Linked DNA regions of Caenorhabditis elegans. The protein of the gene in region 1 purifies or fractionates together with the protein of each later gene. This does not show direct contact. Each region holds a gene or a part of one and is shown on either strand. Other genes may lie near its edges. The genes, in order: ymel-1 and yop-1.

What was found.
Region 2: the proteins of ymel-1 (region 1) and yop-1 fractionate together in Caenorhabditis elegans (co-fractionation; one large-scale study listed by BioGRID). This does not show direct contact.

What each region holds. Positions count from the first base shown.
Region 1 is NC_003281.10:10,412,647-10,423,572, reverse strand, and holds ymel-1 (ATP-dependent zinc metalloprotease YME1 homolog), read right to left. Parts: upstream 7,435-10,926; 5' UTR 7,423-7,434; coding exon 7,350-7,422; intron 6,488-7,349; coding exon 6,257-6,487; intron 5,611-6,256; coding exon 5,266-5,610; intron 4,773-5,265; coding exon 4,666-4,772; intron 4,387-4,665; coding exon 4,127-4,386; intron 3,904-4,126; coding exon 3,799-3,903; intron 3,746-3,798; coding exon 3,046-3,745; intron 2,722-3,045; coding exon 2,566-2,721; intron 2,411-2,565; coding exon 2,216-2,410; 3' UTR 1,814-2,215; downstream 1-1,813. Other genes in the region: M03C11.6 (BBS2_C domain-containing protein), read left to right, coding at 153-286, 332-424, 722-832, 1,196-1,338, 1,511-1,779; M03C11.3 (PH domain-containing protein), read right to left, coding at 8,871-9,152, 9,851-10,030, 10,310-10,550, 10,775-10,925. UniProt on the Caenorhabditis elegans protein: ATP-dependent metalloprotease that catalyzes the degradation of folded and unfolded proteins with a suitable degron sequence in the mitochondrial intermembrane region. Plays an important role in regulating mitochondrial morphology and function.
Region 2 is NC_003279.8:2,727,087-2,734,020, forward strand, and holds yop-1 (Receptor expression-enhancing protein), read left to right. Parts: upstream 1-2,917; 5' UTR 2,918-2,923; coding exon 2,924-3,150; intron 3,151-3,834; coding exon 3,835-4,159; 3' UTR 4,160-4,367; downstream 4,368-6,934. Other genes in the region: snr-7 (putative small nuclear ribonucleoprotein G), read left to right, coding at 1-60, 114-218; Y71F9B.2 (Phosphatidate cytidylyltransferase, mitochondrial), read left to right, coding at 4,478-4,550, 5,632-6,347.

The DNA.
Region 1 (10,926 bases):
GTGTGGTAAATATAAATTGGTGTAGATCGTGGCGAGACCCAATATAGCAGAAGAAATGGCCTGCGCCTTTAAAATGGACGTGGTCGGTTTTCACGACTTTGTAATATTTATTCAATTAAAAAAAACATTTTTTAATTTTTTTCAACTTTCAGACTCTTAACTGTGAATTATCGATTCCAATCACTGAAAATCAGATTTTTTCCATTGATTTTATCGATTCTTCCCGTTTCGAACGCCACGTAATCACCAGATTCGAAGTCAAAAATCGATTGGAAACTGATATTTTGTAATTAATTAATTAATTTTCTATTTAAAAAATTGATATTTTCAGATCAATCCAGGCGTCAATTGGCATTCCGAATACATTGATTCGATGGACTTTGTTTGAAAATTCACATTCTCCAAATATCCTGCAAAGTATCAGGTAATTGGGGAATTTTTGGGAACAATAAAATTCGAAAATTTATTTTAAAAGTTGTAAAAATACTGGGAAGATTCCCGAAAAATTTTCTAAAATTTTCAGAAAAAACGAAAAAAAAAAAAAATTATACATTCCTTAAAAATCTGACCTACTTTAAAGGCGCACACGCTTTTCCCAGTTTGGGGGGTCCCACCACGATTTGTTGTAGCGCCACGGTTCCCAAAACACACGTGGATCGTGGCGGGACCCAATGACCCAATGTTTGCGCATTCAAATCAGTTTAATTCCTCATATTTTCAGACCGAATTCGACAGTAGTTGTGTGCTTGGCAATTCCATTTTCGGCGTTTTTGGCCAGTGACACCGTAAATCTCATTTTCACAGGAAACCTCGTTCCAAGCAAAAGGCTACTGTAAGTTTTGAAATATTTTTGAAAAAAAAAAACGGGAAAATAAATACAAAATTCGATTTTCAATTTGTTTTAGAGGAAACAAGAATTTTCAAAAGAAATTGGAAATTTTTTTTAAGTTGTTCTCATTTTTCAATTTACTCTGAAAAAACCGAAAATTGATTGTTTTTCGACGACATCCTGGGCAGGGGTACTGTAGGATACTGTAGGATTAAGATTTCCTGAAGGTTACTGTAGTGGTACTAACGGCGGTCACTGTAAGACTATGGTAGCTCATTTAATTGGCTGCACTATAGGAGGATACTGTAGGGTTACTGTAGACTTTCCAAAGATTACTGTAACCATAAACATTCCATTTCCTTACAGACTTCATCCGACCGCGTATCCAGTAATTGGCGCCAATTTACGTGTTGAACCATACCCAGAAGCCGATTTTTCTGTGAGAATCGATTTTTCCGAAGCGATCGAAGAATTGGACGTGAAATCAATCGAATTCGTTGATGAGTCGAGTATGTTAAGCTCCGCCTATTAATGGCTTCAAAGAAATGCTCGAATTCAGACTATTGAAATTCCTTTGACATTTAAAAACAATTTTTAATTGTAGAAATATTAGCTTTAGGTTCCGCCCAGAAAGTGGTCGTCGACTTCGCCCCCTTCTAACCCACATTTTCTCTATTCCAGAATCCACTCGAATTATCCAATCACTGCTCACTGTGCTCCACCGTTTTCCTGTGCCAATTGTTCCGGATTTTGCCACATTTCGCCGAGAATTCCCTCATTTTTCGGCTAACGATTTCGACACGTGGCGTCTTTTTGTCGGCGCCGACAATTTTGATGGGCTCTTTTTGTTCACGGAGAGCAGTGATGACGTCACTCGGTGCCACGTCATCTCGGAGAACAGCTCAATTTGTGAAATGTTTTTGAGACTTCTGAATGAGAAGTGCCAATAAATTAATTTTCTTTTTTTCAAATTGTTTTCTAGAATCCAAAAACACATTTATATTCAACAGATCCGTACATCTAGAAAGCTACAACCACAGAGGAGAAAGAGAGGATGAAACCGGAAATTTTGTGGTCTCACAGCGATCGAGACACAAAATTCTCAGGGGACTATGAGAAGAGAGTTGAGAACCTACAAGGAAAATTGGTACAAAATCGAGAAAACCGGAGAAAAAACGGGAAAAAATTGGGGAAAGAGAAGAATGCTAAATAGGTGAATGAATACCTGTAGACGAGAAGATGGAAGAAAAATAGGAAAAAAATCACTCAATTTACACGAAAACTTCGATTTTCTAAGATTTTCGAGCGAACTTAAACTGAAATAAAATCAGAAAAAGGAGGAAAAAGTACAGAACTTAGAATATTTAAAGAAAAAAAAAGAAGAAATTATTGCTTTCCACGGCCTTCTTCCTCGAATAAATGAAGAACAAGCGACGGTTGATTTCGTTTTGTTTCATTACTTTTCTTCACTGCCGCCGGTGTTGGTCGCTTGATTTTCTGTCCACTGATAACACGTTTCACCTCGTCAGCTGAGAGAGTTTCGTATTCGAGAAGAGCTTCCGCGAGCAGTTGATGCTCTTTCTGCAAAAAATCGGAAATTTTGAGAATTTTTGAAGGAATCTTTTTAAATTAATTTTTTAACAAAAAAAGCTGACGTCGTATTTTTCAAGTTTTTAGCAACATTTTTGTTTTAGTTTTAAAAAATCTGGAAAATTAGAAAATTCCAAAAAAAAAACCTTCTTGGTTTCCAAAATGACTTTAGCCCTTTTATAGCTCTCCTGTAGTACACGATTAATCTCTGCATCAATTAGTTCGGCTGTTTGTGGTGCCAAATCCGACACTTTTACCAGTGCACTTTCATTGTCTTGGGCAGTGAAATCACGGAGTCCGACCTGGAATTTTAAATTTAAAATATAGAAAATTTTTAGCGGGAAATTAGAATTTAGTTTTTAAAAACTTCTGGTGGGATATTCAAATTTTTAAAGAAAATTGTTGGCGACAGCTTCAAAAATAAAAAAAAAATTGCGGGAAATTTTAATTGTTTTTTTTTTCGGAGAGATATTCAAATTCACTGAAACAATTTTTAGCGAAAAAAAATTGCGAGAAATTTGAATATTTTGAAAAAATTATGGCAGGAAATTCAAATTTTCCGAAAAAAAATTTTGCGCCAAGCTCATATTTCCTAAGAAAAAAGTATTCCCAAGCCCCCTTCTCACCTTATCACTCATTCCAAAAACCTTAACCATCTGCACCGCCAACTGAGTGGCCTTACTCAAATCATCCGCAGCACCAGTGGTGACCTTATCATCTCCAAAGATGAGCTCTTCAGCCACCCGACCGCCCATCATCACATCCAACGTAGCAAGCATTTGTGCTTTAGTCAACTGATAACTATCCTTTTCAGGAAGCATTGCAGTGTGTCCGAGAGATTGTCCACGTGGAATAATAGTTACTTTATGCAGAGGTGTAGCATCTTTTGTGTACAAAGACACCAGAGTATGACCTGCTTCATGATAAGCTGTATTTCTATTTGCTTCTTCATCAGGAATCCTTCCTCCAGTACGTGCCGGTCCCATCAGTACTCGATCCCTTGCTTCATCTAAATAGGCCATCGTAACCTCCACAGCATTATCAGTCGCCGCTTTCAATGCCGCCTGATTCACCATATTCTCAATGTCGGCTCCAGTGAATCCTGTCGATCCCTTCGCCAGAACTTTAGGATCAATTCCACCGGAATGCACGATTTTTGAGAGATAAAAGTTGAAAATGTCCACACGCCCAGCGAGATCAGGTTTTGGAACTGTGACACGAACATCGAAGCGTCCGGGTCGGAGAAGGGCCTTGTCGAGGTCGTCGACACGATTTGTTGCGGCAATTACAATGATTCCCTCGTTACGGGTGAAGCCATCCATTTCACTGAAAACATCAGGAGATGAGTTTTTAATGCACAAAATTGAGCAAATTGTTACCTGAGAAGTTGATTAATCGTTTGATTTGCATATGGATGGATGGAATTCGAAACACGTTTTGAGCCAACTGAATCGATTTCGTCGATGAAAATGATGCATGGAGCACTGAAAAATATAAATCTTGGATTTTTTTCGGGGCTTTTACTTAATTTTACGAAATTTTTTTTTGTCAAAGTTTTAGCGAATATCATACAAATCGATAATTCCGAGAGGGCAACAAAATTGAATTTTAATTTTAAAATAAACATTAAATTTTGGCCAATTTAAGAAAACTAATGGTTAAAAAAAACAAAAATTTTGTAAAATGTCTCCAAAATAGCCTGCTCACCGAGCCTTAGCCTTATCGAAAAGATCCCTAACACGACGGGCTCCCTGTCCAACAAGTACTTCATCAAATTCTGATCCAGCAGTATGGAAGAATGGAACCTGTGCTTCACCGGCTATTGCTCTCGCGAGCAACGTTTTTCCGGTTCCGGGGGGTCCGACGAGTAGGACACCTTTCGGTAATCGACCACCAAGTCTTGAGTATTTTTCTGGATCTTTCAGGTAATCCACGATCTCCTCCACTTCCAATTTCGCTTCGTCCATCTGGAAATTGAAAAAATATTGAAAAAAATTCTTAGAACACTTTAAGTTTGATACAATTATCTTAAAGTTTTTTTTTTCAAAAGTCAAAAAATCAAAAAAAAAAAAGTTTAAATTTTTTTTTTAATTTTAAAGGTTTTTTTTCCAAAAAATTCGGCAAAATAAACATTTTTGCAATTTTTCGAATTTCAGAAAAAAATTTAAGGGTTTTTTCAATGATTTCGTGTCGTTTTTTAAATGAAACAAATCGCAAATTTCGGTAAATTTTTCCAAAAAACTCACTCCTCTAACATCATCGAAAGTAACTTGAACATCCTCTGGATTGACTTCTTGTGGATTCGAGAAGAACAATGAACCAATTTGTCGATCGCCTACACGCACACGAATTCCTTTATTTAGGAGATCAATTCATAAACTTTTTAATTTTTTTTTGAAAAAAAAAAAATTTTCTTCTAAAATGTTCAAGATATGCAGTTTTTGAAAAGTTTTACAAAATTTCCAAAACAATTTTTAAAAACCGATTTTTAGACTTGAAATAAAACATTTTTAAAAATTAAATATTATAGAATATTTAGTTAATTTTAGAAATAAATACGAATTTTCAAAACCTGGAAATTGTATTTTTAATTTTTAATTCCTAAATTTAAAAAAAAAACTTTTTTCCAAAACTTTTCAAATATGCAGTTTTGAAAAATTTCGGACGTTTTCAGCAATTTTTTCGAAATTCTAAACAAAATTCAACAATTTTGAAGCGAAATGTGTTTTTTTTTTAATTTTAAATTTTTAAAATTCAGGAGAAAAAATGTCTAAAAATTTAATGTTTCAAGGAAAAAAAAATTTTTTTTTCAATTTTTCACTATAAATTCTCGAAATAAAACGCACTTCCAGTCAAATATCCGAAAAAGATGCAAAAAACAAGAAAAATGTAGAACCGCGTGAGCGTATTCGATTTTTTCCCATCTTTTCCAGCTCCCGAAACACCATTTGACAATAATCCCTTAACAAATCCATCAGTATATGTTCTCTGTTGATTTTCTGGTAATTTCTTGAGATCCGACTCATATTGATTCCATTTTTCAACTCCTCCTTCTGACGTTTTTTGCTTTTTTCCAGCGAGAAGCTCTGAGAAATAGGTTAACGGAGATTTCACTTCATCTTGTGTCGGTTTTCCGGCATTTCCGACTCCGAATGTCTGTTTTCGAGTACGAAATCCGCGGCGTTGGATATCTGAGACAATTGGAATTTTTTGAAAAATGTAAAAAAAATTATCGTATTTTTTATTTTAAAAATACCAATAAAATACCAGTATCTAGAGGTTTTTTTTGTAAAATTTCCTATAAATTTTAATTAAAATTAGTGGAAAAAATTCAGAAAAAGGAAATTTTTAAAAACAATTTTTAACGAAAAAAAGTAGATTTTTTAAAAATAATTTTAGGAAATATTTAGAAAATGCTTGTAATAAATTTTCATAAAATAAAAAAAAATTGGAAAAAAACCTACTTCCAAACAATATTTTATATATTTTTGAAATTAAAATAAATAAAAAATTTTATTTCAAAAAAATTAACATAAATATTGATTTGAAGTTGGTTTTTTAAAATGAAAATTTTTGTTTTGTTTTTCAATTATTTTTATATTATTCTATGAAAATTTCCTAAAATAATGAAAAATCTAACTAATAAAAAATTGTTTTAAAATATTCAAGTTTTCGATAAAATTTTCCTTTTTTGTAAAAATTGTGAAAATTTTAAAAAAAACCTATTTTAGATCAAAAAATAAGTTTTTTTGCAATTTTTTTAAAGTTTCAAACTTTTTTCTGAATTTTTTCTTATTTTACAAAAAGGAGCAAAATTTCCACGCAGCTTAAACTTACAAAACGAAGAGCTCGCCGGAATTATCCGAACGACAGCATCATCATAATTCAGCGAAATTTCAGATTTTCTAGCGATCCGCCTTGAAAGCGTACTATCTCTGAGAATATTATTCATTTGATTGATTGTAACAGGTGAAGAAGTATCAGAACTGAATTGTCTCCAAACTTGATGATATACTCTTGAAAGTGATGCTGCTGTTGCTTCAATATCCAACGGTTTCCTATTGATTCCTGGAAATTTGGATTTTTTGAAAATTATTACAGGAACACAAAATTCTGAGAATGAGTATTGGGCAACGTAAAAAATCTCGAAGCGAAAACTACAGTAATTCTTCAAGTGAAAACTGTAGTGCTTGTGTCGATTTTTTTGCTTAATTTTAATATTCTATCGATAAAAAAAATGATTTTAAGAATCGAGCCCGTAAATCGACACAAACGCTACAGTAGTCATTTAAAGAATTACTGTAGTTTTCGCACGATATTATTTGCGCGTCGAATATGTTGTGTGATACGCATTCTCAGAATATTGTGCTCCCGTAATATGTAGTTTTTGAATATATTGTGCTAATTTTTTAAACTTTATTTTCTAATTACCATACTAAATGTCTTAATATTAAAAAAAAGCGTATATTGCTTTCTGCAAGCTTTTTAATTTATAAAGAACAATTTTAATTTCATTTTAAATTGATTGTTTTTCGCCCGGCTAAATAATAATTTCTGATTCAAACAAATTGTTGAAAACTGAATACCTAAATGTTGCCAGCTAAAACATCAAAATCTAAGCATTTTCAGACCAAGAAATAGTTTTTTTTTTCATTTTTAGCTCAAAATCCCGTTGAAATTTTTTTTTCAAAAAGTACAATGTCATGTAAAAATCGACATTTTTCTTAAAATAAAATAAGTACGACATAATTATTGAAACAGAATTGTTAACAATTTTTTTAAATTTAAACTACATTTTTGCCTAATTTTTTACCAAATTTTGAAAATCATAAATTTCAAAAAATGAAATATTTTCAGCCGGATTAAAAAGAATTCCAGATCACCTAAAAATCGATCTTCTCCTCTATTTTTAAAAACTTTAAAAACAAACCATTTCGACTATTTCTGAGCAGTCCCGTATTCTGGAGCAAACCGCCAATGTTCAAATTGATCGCCGACTGCATAAGCTTTTTCTTCTGGAATTTTCAGAGAATACAAAAATTTATATTTCTATATATCTATAGAAAAAGATTTTCCGAGATTTCAGAGAAAAATAGTTACTACTGATAGGCGCAGTGACTAACTTCAGTTAGCCAGGAGCGAGAGTCCAGTGGAGCGCGTTTGCAATTTCCATGATGCAAACCGCGACGCCGCCGCCTCGTGTCAGGCAAAAATATTTCGGTTTCAGGTGACCTTTTTTCTTCGTTTGTATGCAATTTTTGTTGGCTAAATAAAACCGGCATTTTTCTTTCAAATGATGAGAAATAATATGGTAGTAATAATAATAATAATGAAAAAAAATGCGCACAAAAATTTGGGAATTTTTAGTCGTTACAAATTGAGAATGAGATGGCTCAGCAGGAAGAGGAGAAGGAAAAGGTTCTAGTTGTGATAATATTTAAATATATATATATAAAATAAGTGAGGTACCGAAAAAAAAACATTGAACAACAAATCAACAGCGGATAATTGGGTGGGAAAATGAATTAGAGGCTTGTTTTATGGGAAATTACGGGGACCGGGTGATGATATTTGTGACGTGGCAGAAGAATTTTGGGGAAAATGTGCAATTTTTCGGGTTGGGAATTTGAATTTTTCTTAATTTTGAGACTCAAAAAAGTGAGAAAAATTAAGAAAAAAAGGTTTTTTTTTCTCAATTTTTGTTCCAAATTTCAGACATTTTTGGGTTGGAAAAAATCCAAAAATTCTCCCAAAAACTGCCAGTTTTCTTCCAAAAAAAATCTGCAAAAAACTATGAAATTTTCTAATTTTACAGTAATGTAGGCAAAGTGCTACACTCAAAAAAAAAACAAAAATTAATTTTAAAAAACGAGAGATCGTCGTAATGGAAAAAATGGGGAAAAAACGAAAAAGTGCGAAATGAGATGTGACAGAGATTCATGTTTAGGATGGGATGGGATTCTGGAGAAAATGAAGATGAAGAAGCTTTCGAAATGAGAAATAAATTTGAATTTTGACATGGAAAACGCGAGAAAAATCAAAATTCGGCATTTCAAGAATTTTTGAATTAAAAAAATTTTTTTTCAGGGGGAAAAACCTGCTAAAAATGTACAAGTTTCTAGATTTTTCATAGGAAATCTGAATTTTTTGGCGTTAAAAAACACTGGAAATTACCAAATTAAATCTCAATTTACGTCAAAAATGGAGATTTCAGTAATTTTATCCAGAATTTTGTATATTTTTAGAGGAAAAAATGCGCATTATTCAAGATTTTTTGAGAACTTTTTTGGCGTGTTTTCCCTTTAAAAACTGTAAATTAAATGCTAAAATCTTGATATTTTTTCGTCGAAAAATTTGCAATTTTAGGAATATTTCACAATTTTCAATTTCAAAATTTCCAAATTCAAAAGCTGCTTCAGAAAAAAAAAAGAAAAAATGGGGAAAAATGACACTATTTGCTGGTTAACTCGGTATTGATGGTGGATTTCTTTCGATGATTATTGAGAAAATCGCGTTGCTCAAATGGTTTCTCGACAGAAGCAAAACGACGCCTTGACACAACTGCAGCATCCAATTCAAATTGATTCATATCAAATGGTGGATATTGATTGCCGTCTTCGTCGTCTTCAACTTCTCCGGCATTTGGTACTGCGAATGATGAGCTGTGTGCTGGTGTGGCGGCCGCCGATTTTTGAGCTGGTTGACGATTTCTTATTCGTTTGTCCGTTTCTCTCTGAAAAATGTGAATTTATTTGTGATTTTTTAACTTTAAAACATCAAAATTTCCCATAATCTCAGAAGTTTAAAAATCTTTTTTGAGAAAACCCACGAAACTACACAATAAAGATGTCCTAAAATATAAAAATTGATCAGTTTTTCTTCATTTTTTTCTAATTATCGATTTTCAGACATTCCGCAAAATTTTTGGCGATTTTTTTTAGAGTTTTACCAAATTTCATGTAGGTTACCAATTTTTTTTCCTGAAATTTGAAAAAAGTAGTTAGAAATCGCGAAAAAATCGAAGCCAGGCCATTAATTTGCGTGGGAATTCATGATTTCTAGCTTTTGTGCAAAATTTTTTAAAAAACTAAATTTTTTACAGTTTTACTGGGTATATTTAGAGCCTTTTTAGAAAAATATTAAAACTTTTTGAATAAAATTTAGTGCTGAAAAATGTGCTAAACTATGCTTTTTATTCGGTTTTAGATCTGAAAAATTGTAGATTTTGGGTTAATTCTTGTAAAAAATCACTTTTTTTCAGTTTTGAACCATTTTTCCATGATTTTAAAACTGGAGATAGGTAAAAAATGTATTTAAAACTTCAGGATCCTCACTAAATTTTTTTTTCAATATTTTTCAAAAACGTTCACATATTTTTGTCTAAAAATTCAATTTTTGAATAGAAATTTCAATCCAAAAAACTCTCCGAACCTTAATCCTTTCCCGTTCGGCATGCATCAGCTTATGATGTTTCTTGGCTACAGTAATCAGAAGATCATCTGATGATTTTTCTTTCTCTTCAGCTTCTTCCTGCTTAACAATTCCGTCCGTTGGTTCTTTATCTTGCCAATAGTCGTCGGGAATGGTACGGTAGGTGGGTACGTGAATACTCTGAAAGGAAAGTCAGTTTTGAACTATAAACGGTCGGAAAAAAAAATGGAAAAATCATCCAATTTGCTAATTTTTTCACAGATTTCAAGAAAAATACTGTTTTTGACCGATTTTTGAAAAATAAAACTACAATTTTTATTCCAAAAATATCAAAATTTCAGCGCATTTTCGATTTTTTTGTTGAAAATATCAAAATTCATAGTCAGCGAATTTTCATCTGGAAATCTCCAAATTTCAGTGAATTTTCTGAATTTTTATTTTAAAAACCTGCAAATTTACCTGATAAGACACCAACGTAGGCAATTGTGACACACAAATATCCTCATTCATAAAATCTTCAAATAAATAATCGAGATAGATTCCATTATTGAGTTTTGCTGCCACAGACATTTTCGATGGTTTCCTTTTTGCAGTTGCTGGTCTGCCACGTGGCCGTTTTTTGGATAATTCCTTGAGTTCTTCTTCATCACTACTGACTTCTTCCATTGGTTTACGTTCCTTCTTTTTGTCCACTTTTTTCCTGCAAAAAATTGAATTTTTAAAAAAGTTTTTTTTTGGTTGAAAAAATAGGCTTTGGAAAATCGAAAATTTAGGTTTTATCCTTTTTTTCGCTTTTCAGAAAATACAAAAAATTCGTTTAAAATTTTGCCTATTTTCCAAAAAAAAACCTTTTTAGAACAACAAATTTTTAAACATTTTTTTTTCAATTTTTTGATAAACTAAAAATTTGAAAATTTTCATTACTTTGTGACGACGGAGCTATTGTGTTCCAGCGGTTTCCCATGGTCGTCCGTCTCGAAATAAATCGCCTTCCCGTGCTTTTTACGAATTGTACTTGATGGAGCCGTCGACAATCGATGCATATATGTCATTTGGCGATCTTCGAATGGAGTGAC
Region 2 (6,934 bases), on another chromosome or scaffold:
AACCGTCGCGTCTCTGGAATCCTCCGCGGTTTCGATCCATTCATGAACATGGTCATCGACGTATGTTTCTTTTTCCGTTTTTGTCTAATTTATTCTAAAATTTAATATTGCAGGAAGCTGTCGAGTACCAAAAGGACGGAGGATCCGTCAACCTCGGCATGACTGTCATTCGCGGAAACTCCGTCGTCATCATGGAGCCCAAGGAGAGAATCTCCTAGATTTTTCGATCTCCACAATTTCCTGTCACTTTCTCAATGTTTTCATTTTCAAATTTTGATATTAAATTTTTGAACCTTTTTTTTGATAATTTTTGATAACTACGTGGTCAAAACCCACTTCTCATCTCTGATTCACGTGAATTTCGTATAGATAAGAACTTCGCAAATAGAATCAATTCACAAACAAATGTACCAAAAGTTATGTTTTATTATTGCAGGCATAAAAAAAATCAATCGTAAAGCTTTTTTTCAGCATTTTGTTTTTCCACGGCTCAAATTGAACGAAATAGTGTTCATTTTGAAGAGAGGCACGAAACAGAGTAACAAAAACACGGAGAGACTTGTGTATCCCTCTTCTCTTTCCACTATGTGCGGTCGACGACGCTCTCCACATTTTTCTCTCTTTATTCTTCTCGTTACTCTTACTCGGCACAACAGCAGCAAAAAAGAATACTCTTTCCCCACTTCTTATCTCTTTTTCTGCCGACCTATTTTCTTCTTTCAAAACAGAAAAATGTTCCACACACACGCCTATCATCATCCGAAAGCTGTACGAGATGTGCTTTCTCATCTTTCCGTACTCTTGTGGCTGCAGCCGTCGAAGAGTTGAAATATCAATTTTCAAAACGCGGCAGATTCTCAGCCGGAATTCAGTGAATTCGCTTGATTTCTCGCCAAAATATAGAAATCAGACGATTTATCTGAAAATAACACCCATTTCAGTTGAAACATGCGAGAAAATGCTGAAAAATAGCCTGAATTTGCTAATTTCAGGCCATTTTTGAGCTCTTCCTCAAGTGTTTCGACTGAAATAAATGTTTGTTTTAGATAAATCAAGTGATTTTCTATAATTTCACATCAATTTTAAATGAATCAACATGTCACAATAGGTCATTTTGAAAAATTGGCGCCAATCCCCAAACCTGATCTGGATTTGAACAAGAGTTTTCTACTTCGATTTCACATTTTGCTGAGAAAAACCGAAAATTATCGATGTTCTCTTTTGAAAATTGAACGCTTTTCAGTGATAATTAGGAAAAATCACCTTTTTTCAAGTCGAATAATTTCAAAAGCTTCAGAAAATCCAATGTTTTGACTCGAATTCAGGAAAAACCGGAAGAAAATCGCGAAATAATATAAAATCCGAATAAAAAAAACGCGATTTTTTTCAATTTTGGCTGAATTCTCCACACTCCAACTGATTGATCGTTCATTTTTTAAAGGAATTTAGCCAAAATTGCAAAATCCCGATTTTAAAAATAAAAAATTAATTCTGTTATGATTCCGCGTTTTTTATTTTGTAATAATTCCCATTTACGCCGTCTTTTAAAAATGCAGACCCACAATTTTTCTGGTGAACATTTCAAATCAATTCAAATTATTTTGATCTGATCTCCGGCGCGAATCACTTGTACTTTGTTCTCTCTCCTCCCGTCTCCTCCGTGGCACTATGTCATTCTGAAGTTGTTTCAATGACAAATCACTCACGCACACACACACACACAATGGATTGTGCCCTTTGTGTTGCCGTTTGACTATCATCGATTGATTCCATTCCCGTTCCGTTTTCGCCGTGCTCTCTCTCTCTGGGTTTTTCGTCTTCTCCCGGGAACACTTGGCCAGTTATCACTCGCTCTTTCTGTCCTCCTCTCAACAGCTATTGGCTACTACTACTACTGCTGCTGCTGCTGATCCGGCTCCGGTTGGCTATAGGCACATTTTGATGCGATTTGTGTGTGTGTGTTCTTTGGAGATTCAATTTGAAGAACTCTTCGCCTTTTTTGTATAAGTTTTCTTTTCGGGGGTGAAAAAATTCGCATCTTTATTCTCTTTAAGGTGGTGTAGTCTAATTTTTTTAAAAATAGCTTTATTAGACTCAAAATTGTCTGAAAACACCGAATTTCATAGTGTAACTTCTCAAAAAAAGTTTATGACGGCTCCAAAATGGCCTAAAATTAGTTAAAATTTGAAATTCGACCAACTTGTCAAGCGGCTGGAAACAAAATCACCGTCAAATTTTGAGTATACAATGTAATTATCTTGCGTTTTTAACTTCATTTAGGTATTTTAAAGTCCATGGACGGCGAGATTTCACAATTTTTTTAACCAAATCTCGCCGTCCATCGACTTTAAAGTACCTAAATCGAGTTGAAAACGCAAGATAATTGGATTGTATACTCAAAATTTTACGGTAATTTCAAAAAAAAGTTTCCAGCCGCTTGACAAGTCGGCCAAATTTAAAATTTTAACAAATTTTTAGACCATTTTTTCAGCCGTCAAAACTTTTTTTTTGAGAAGTTTTCAAGAAGTTTCATTATGAAATTCGGTGTTTTCAGACAATTTTGAGTCTAATAAAGCAATTAAAAAATTCGACTACACCACCACCTCAAAAATTTATAAATTAAATATATTGAGAATATTTTACCTGGGGTTTGGTCCCTAAGCTAGGCTTCTGAGCAAGATAAAAATTGAAAAAGGTGATAAATTCATCACTTTTTTCTCAATTTTTTGGCTCAGAGGACTAGCTTGGGGCCCAAACTGTTCACTTTCTCTCAGAATTCCGAATTTTTGACCCCGGAAACAGAATAAAAATGCACAGCCCTGACTGGTTCACATCATAACTCTTTTTATTTTATCGCTTTTTTGTCTCTTCTTCTTCTCCGCCGCCAAGTCATTCCTCTCAACATCCAATTTTCCAGCGCCCAATGCCTGTCCCACCACAAGTGCAAAAGGTCTTGGACGATGTCGACAAGCAGCTCCACGAGCCGAGCACCGTCACCAACGTGCTGGCGACCGTTGAGCAGAAGACCGGAGTCAAGCGGCTTCATTTGGTGCTCGGCGTCGTCGGTCTTCAGGCTCTCTACCTCATTTTCGGACATTCCGCCCAGCTTGTGTGCAACTTTATGGGATTCGTCTACCCGGCTTACATGAGGTTCGCGAATTTTGCAACAAAGAAAACTGCCGCACAGAAAAAGAGGCGGGGCGTAATTTTGCAACCCTGCGGCACGGATTTTCGCTCTTTTTTGTTGATTTTTTTAAATTCTCATAAGATTGTGAGGACGCTATCAAAATTTATTTATCGATCCTTGCATTTTGCAAAAAGTTTTGTCGCACAGAAAGTGGGGCGGAGCGTGCTTTCGCAACACCGCCGCACGGGGTTTGTCTCCGCCCATTTTCCACAGCTTTTCTTGTTGATTTTCTCAAAAAAGTTTTGATTTTACTTGTCTTTTTCTTTTCTTTTTCGAATTGGATCACATTTTCATTCGAAAAAAAGGGGCAAAAACAAGAAAAATCGAAACTTTTATTGAAAAAAAATATACAAGAAGAGCAGTGGAAACATGGCGGAGACAAACCCCGTGCGGCAATGTTGCGGAAGCTCGCTCCGCCCCAATTTCTGTGCGACAAAAATTTTTGCAAAATGCAAGGATCGATAAATAAATTTTGATAGTATCCTCACAATCTTATGGGAATCAAAAAAAATAACAAAACAAAAGGAGCGAAAAACCGTGCCGCAGTGTTGCAAAATTACGCCCCGCCTCTCTTTCTGTGCGACTTTAATCAAAATTTATCGTTTAAAAAAATTTGAAACCCATTTTTTAAATGATTTTTTTTTCAGTATCAAGGCCATCGAATCAAGCAACAAGGAAGACGACACTCAATGGTTGACCTACTGGGTCATATTCGCCATACTCTCAGTCGTCGAGTTCTTCTCCGTTCAAATCGTCGCCGTTTTCCCAGTCTATTGGCTCTTCAAGTCGATCTTCCTGCTCTACCTCTACCTTCCAAGCTTCCTCGGAGCCGCCAAGCTCTACCATAGATTTGTGAAGCCAGTCGCCGCCAGACACTCGGGATCCATTGACGCCAAGATTGGAAATTTCGCCGATAGAGTGAACAGTGCCGCCGGAAAGCTCGCCAACGAAGTCCGAGATCACATGGAATGATTTCTTCTTGAGCTAAATTTTATTATTACTACCACCAATACTATCAACTTCCCCCAGATTGCCCACCAAAATTCCCTTTTTTGCCTTTTTTTTTATTTCTTTGTTCGGTTAGGCTTCTCCCCCCTCCCCTCCTTACTCCGATCTTTGTTCGTTCTCATTTTGTCCAACGATCCATTCTTTTTAGACATAATGAATACTCCACAATGGTAAATTTATTCTCTTTTTTGTGTGTGTTCGTAGAAGAGAAATCGATTTGCCACGCAATACTTGATAATGATATGTATACGGTGGGAAAATTATGTAGAAAAATCTACAGAAATGGACGAATATCGAGAGCTGATTAGTGTGCTTCCACTGGAAACTGTAGAATATGCATTTGCATATGGATCAGGTTGGTTTTTAAAGGTGCACACTGAAAATTTGGAGGGTCCCGGCGCGATCCACGAGTTTTTTCAGACACAGCTTAAAAAATCCTGAAAAAAACGGTGTTTTTATTGTAAAATTCAAGTTTTTCATTTGAAAAACAAAAATTTGACTATTATATAAAAACAGAAAAAAAAATCAAAGTGCAAGCGCGCTCCACGGACAAAAAATGCTCCGCCCCGAAATGTTGGGTCTCGTTAGGTATTTTGAAAAATTAAATGAATTTCAACAAATTTCGCCATAAAAATCGACAAAACAACGAAAAAATGACAAAAAATGTTTAAAAATTGAAGATTTTCCCGCCAATACCTAACGAGACCCAACGATTTGGGGCGGAGCGCTTTAATTTTGCCGAGGAGCGCGTTTGCACATATTATTATTATTTTTCCGCGTAATAACGATATTTTTTAGGTTTTAAAAAAAGGAAAATGTTTAGAATTGTAAAAAAATCAATAATTTTTAGATTTTCCGTTAGAAAATTTTTTTTTTCACATTTTCGAAAAAATGTCAACAATTTTTCGATTTTCCGAACAGTTTCAAATTTTTTTTCATAATTAAAAAACGAACATTTTGCTATTATATAGACGCAGAAAAATGATCGAGGTGCAAGCGCGCTCCACGGACAAGAAAAACGCTCCGCCCCGAAATATTGGGTCTCGTTAGGTATTTTGGCAATTTAAATGCATTTCAACAAATTTCGGCATAAAAATCATTAAAACAACGGAAAAATGACAGAAATGTTTGAAAATTGAAGATTTTCCCGTCAATTCCTAACGAGATCCAACGTTTTGGGGCGGAGCGTTCGCATGTCGCAGTGGAGCGCGTTTTCACATAGATTTCAAAAGGGGAATTTCCCCCATAATAACGACTTTTTTTTAAAATATAATTTTTTAAGTAAAAAAACCAAAAATTTTTAAATTTCCCGGAAAAAATCGATATTTTTTCACATTTTCGAAACAAAATTCAACCACTTTTCGATTTTTTCGGGAAAATTCCCAAAAAAACAATTTTTTTCCTAAAAAATTAACTCTAAAAATTTACTTTTCCAGGTGCAATCCAGCAACAAAATGAGGATAAATCGGAAAAAATGGTGGATTTTGTGATTGTCACTAAAAATGCTCAAGAATTCCACCGCGACAACATTCTCAAAAATCCCCAACACTACAGCCTACTCCGGCTTATGGGCCCGAAAATGATCGAGAAAATTCAGTGTAATTTTGCGGCTCGTGTCTATTACAATACTCATGTAAAAGTCGGGAAGCGGAAGATCAAGTACGGAGTGATTTCGTACGAGAATGTGAAGCAGGATCTTCTGGATTGGAGGTGGATTTATATTTCTGGGCGGCTACACAAGCCGGTACTGGAGGTGATCAAGCCGCGGCAGGATATGTGTGATCTGGTGACTGAGAATCGTAGATCAGCGCTTCATTCATCGCTTCTTCTACTTCCAGAATCTTTTACACTTAAGCAATTATTTCATAAAATCGTCGGGCTCTCTTATACTGGAGATTTTCGAATGGTCGTTGGAGAGGATAAGAATAAAATCAATAAAATCGTCGAGGGAAATTACGAGGAGCTTCTCAGAGTCTACGAGCCACTTATGAACGATGATGCTCGACTGTCGGTGATGTCGCCGGCGAAACTGATTCAGGATGGATCGACGACGGCGATCTATCATCGATTGAATCTTTTGCCATCGGAAGTGTTGAATCGGATTCAGAAGAATATGAATAGAGTGCAGAAAAGGCAGCGGGATGCTGAAGAGGTCTAGAAAATTATAATTGGCGCGCAAAATAGGGTCTCGTAGCGAAAACTACAGTATACAATCAATATTAACGAAAATCACTGAAAAATCCGCAAAAACTGGAAATTACAGTACTCTTTAAAGGCACACTCCTTTTCGCATCTAACAAAAAACATGTCGTGTCGAGACCGGGCACCGTATTTTTGAAGCAAATCCGATTTTTAAGAAACTTTAAAATTACGATATTTAGATTGTGGAAAAATTTTTACCCAGATGCGAAATTTGGCGATTTTTGGACAAAAATACGGTAACTGGTCTCGACACGACAATTTTCTAGCAAATGAAAAATAATAGCGTGCGCCTTTAAAAGGGTACTGTAATTTTGGAATTTTTGCGGAATTTTCAGTTTTTTACTAGTGTTTCAATATTATTGAACATCAAAGAAAAATCAATGAAAATTCGCAAAAATTGGAAATTACAGTACCCTTTAAAGGCGCACACCCGTTTGCATTAAGCGACAAATGTGTCGTGTCGAGACCGGGTATAATACTTTTGAGGTAAAAATCACAAAATTTTCGCAACTAGGTGATATACTTTTCTCCAAAAAA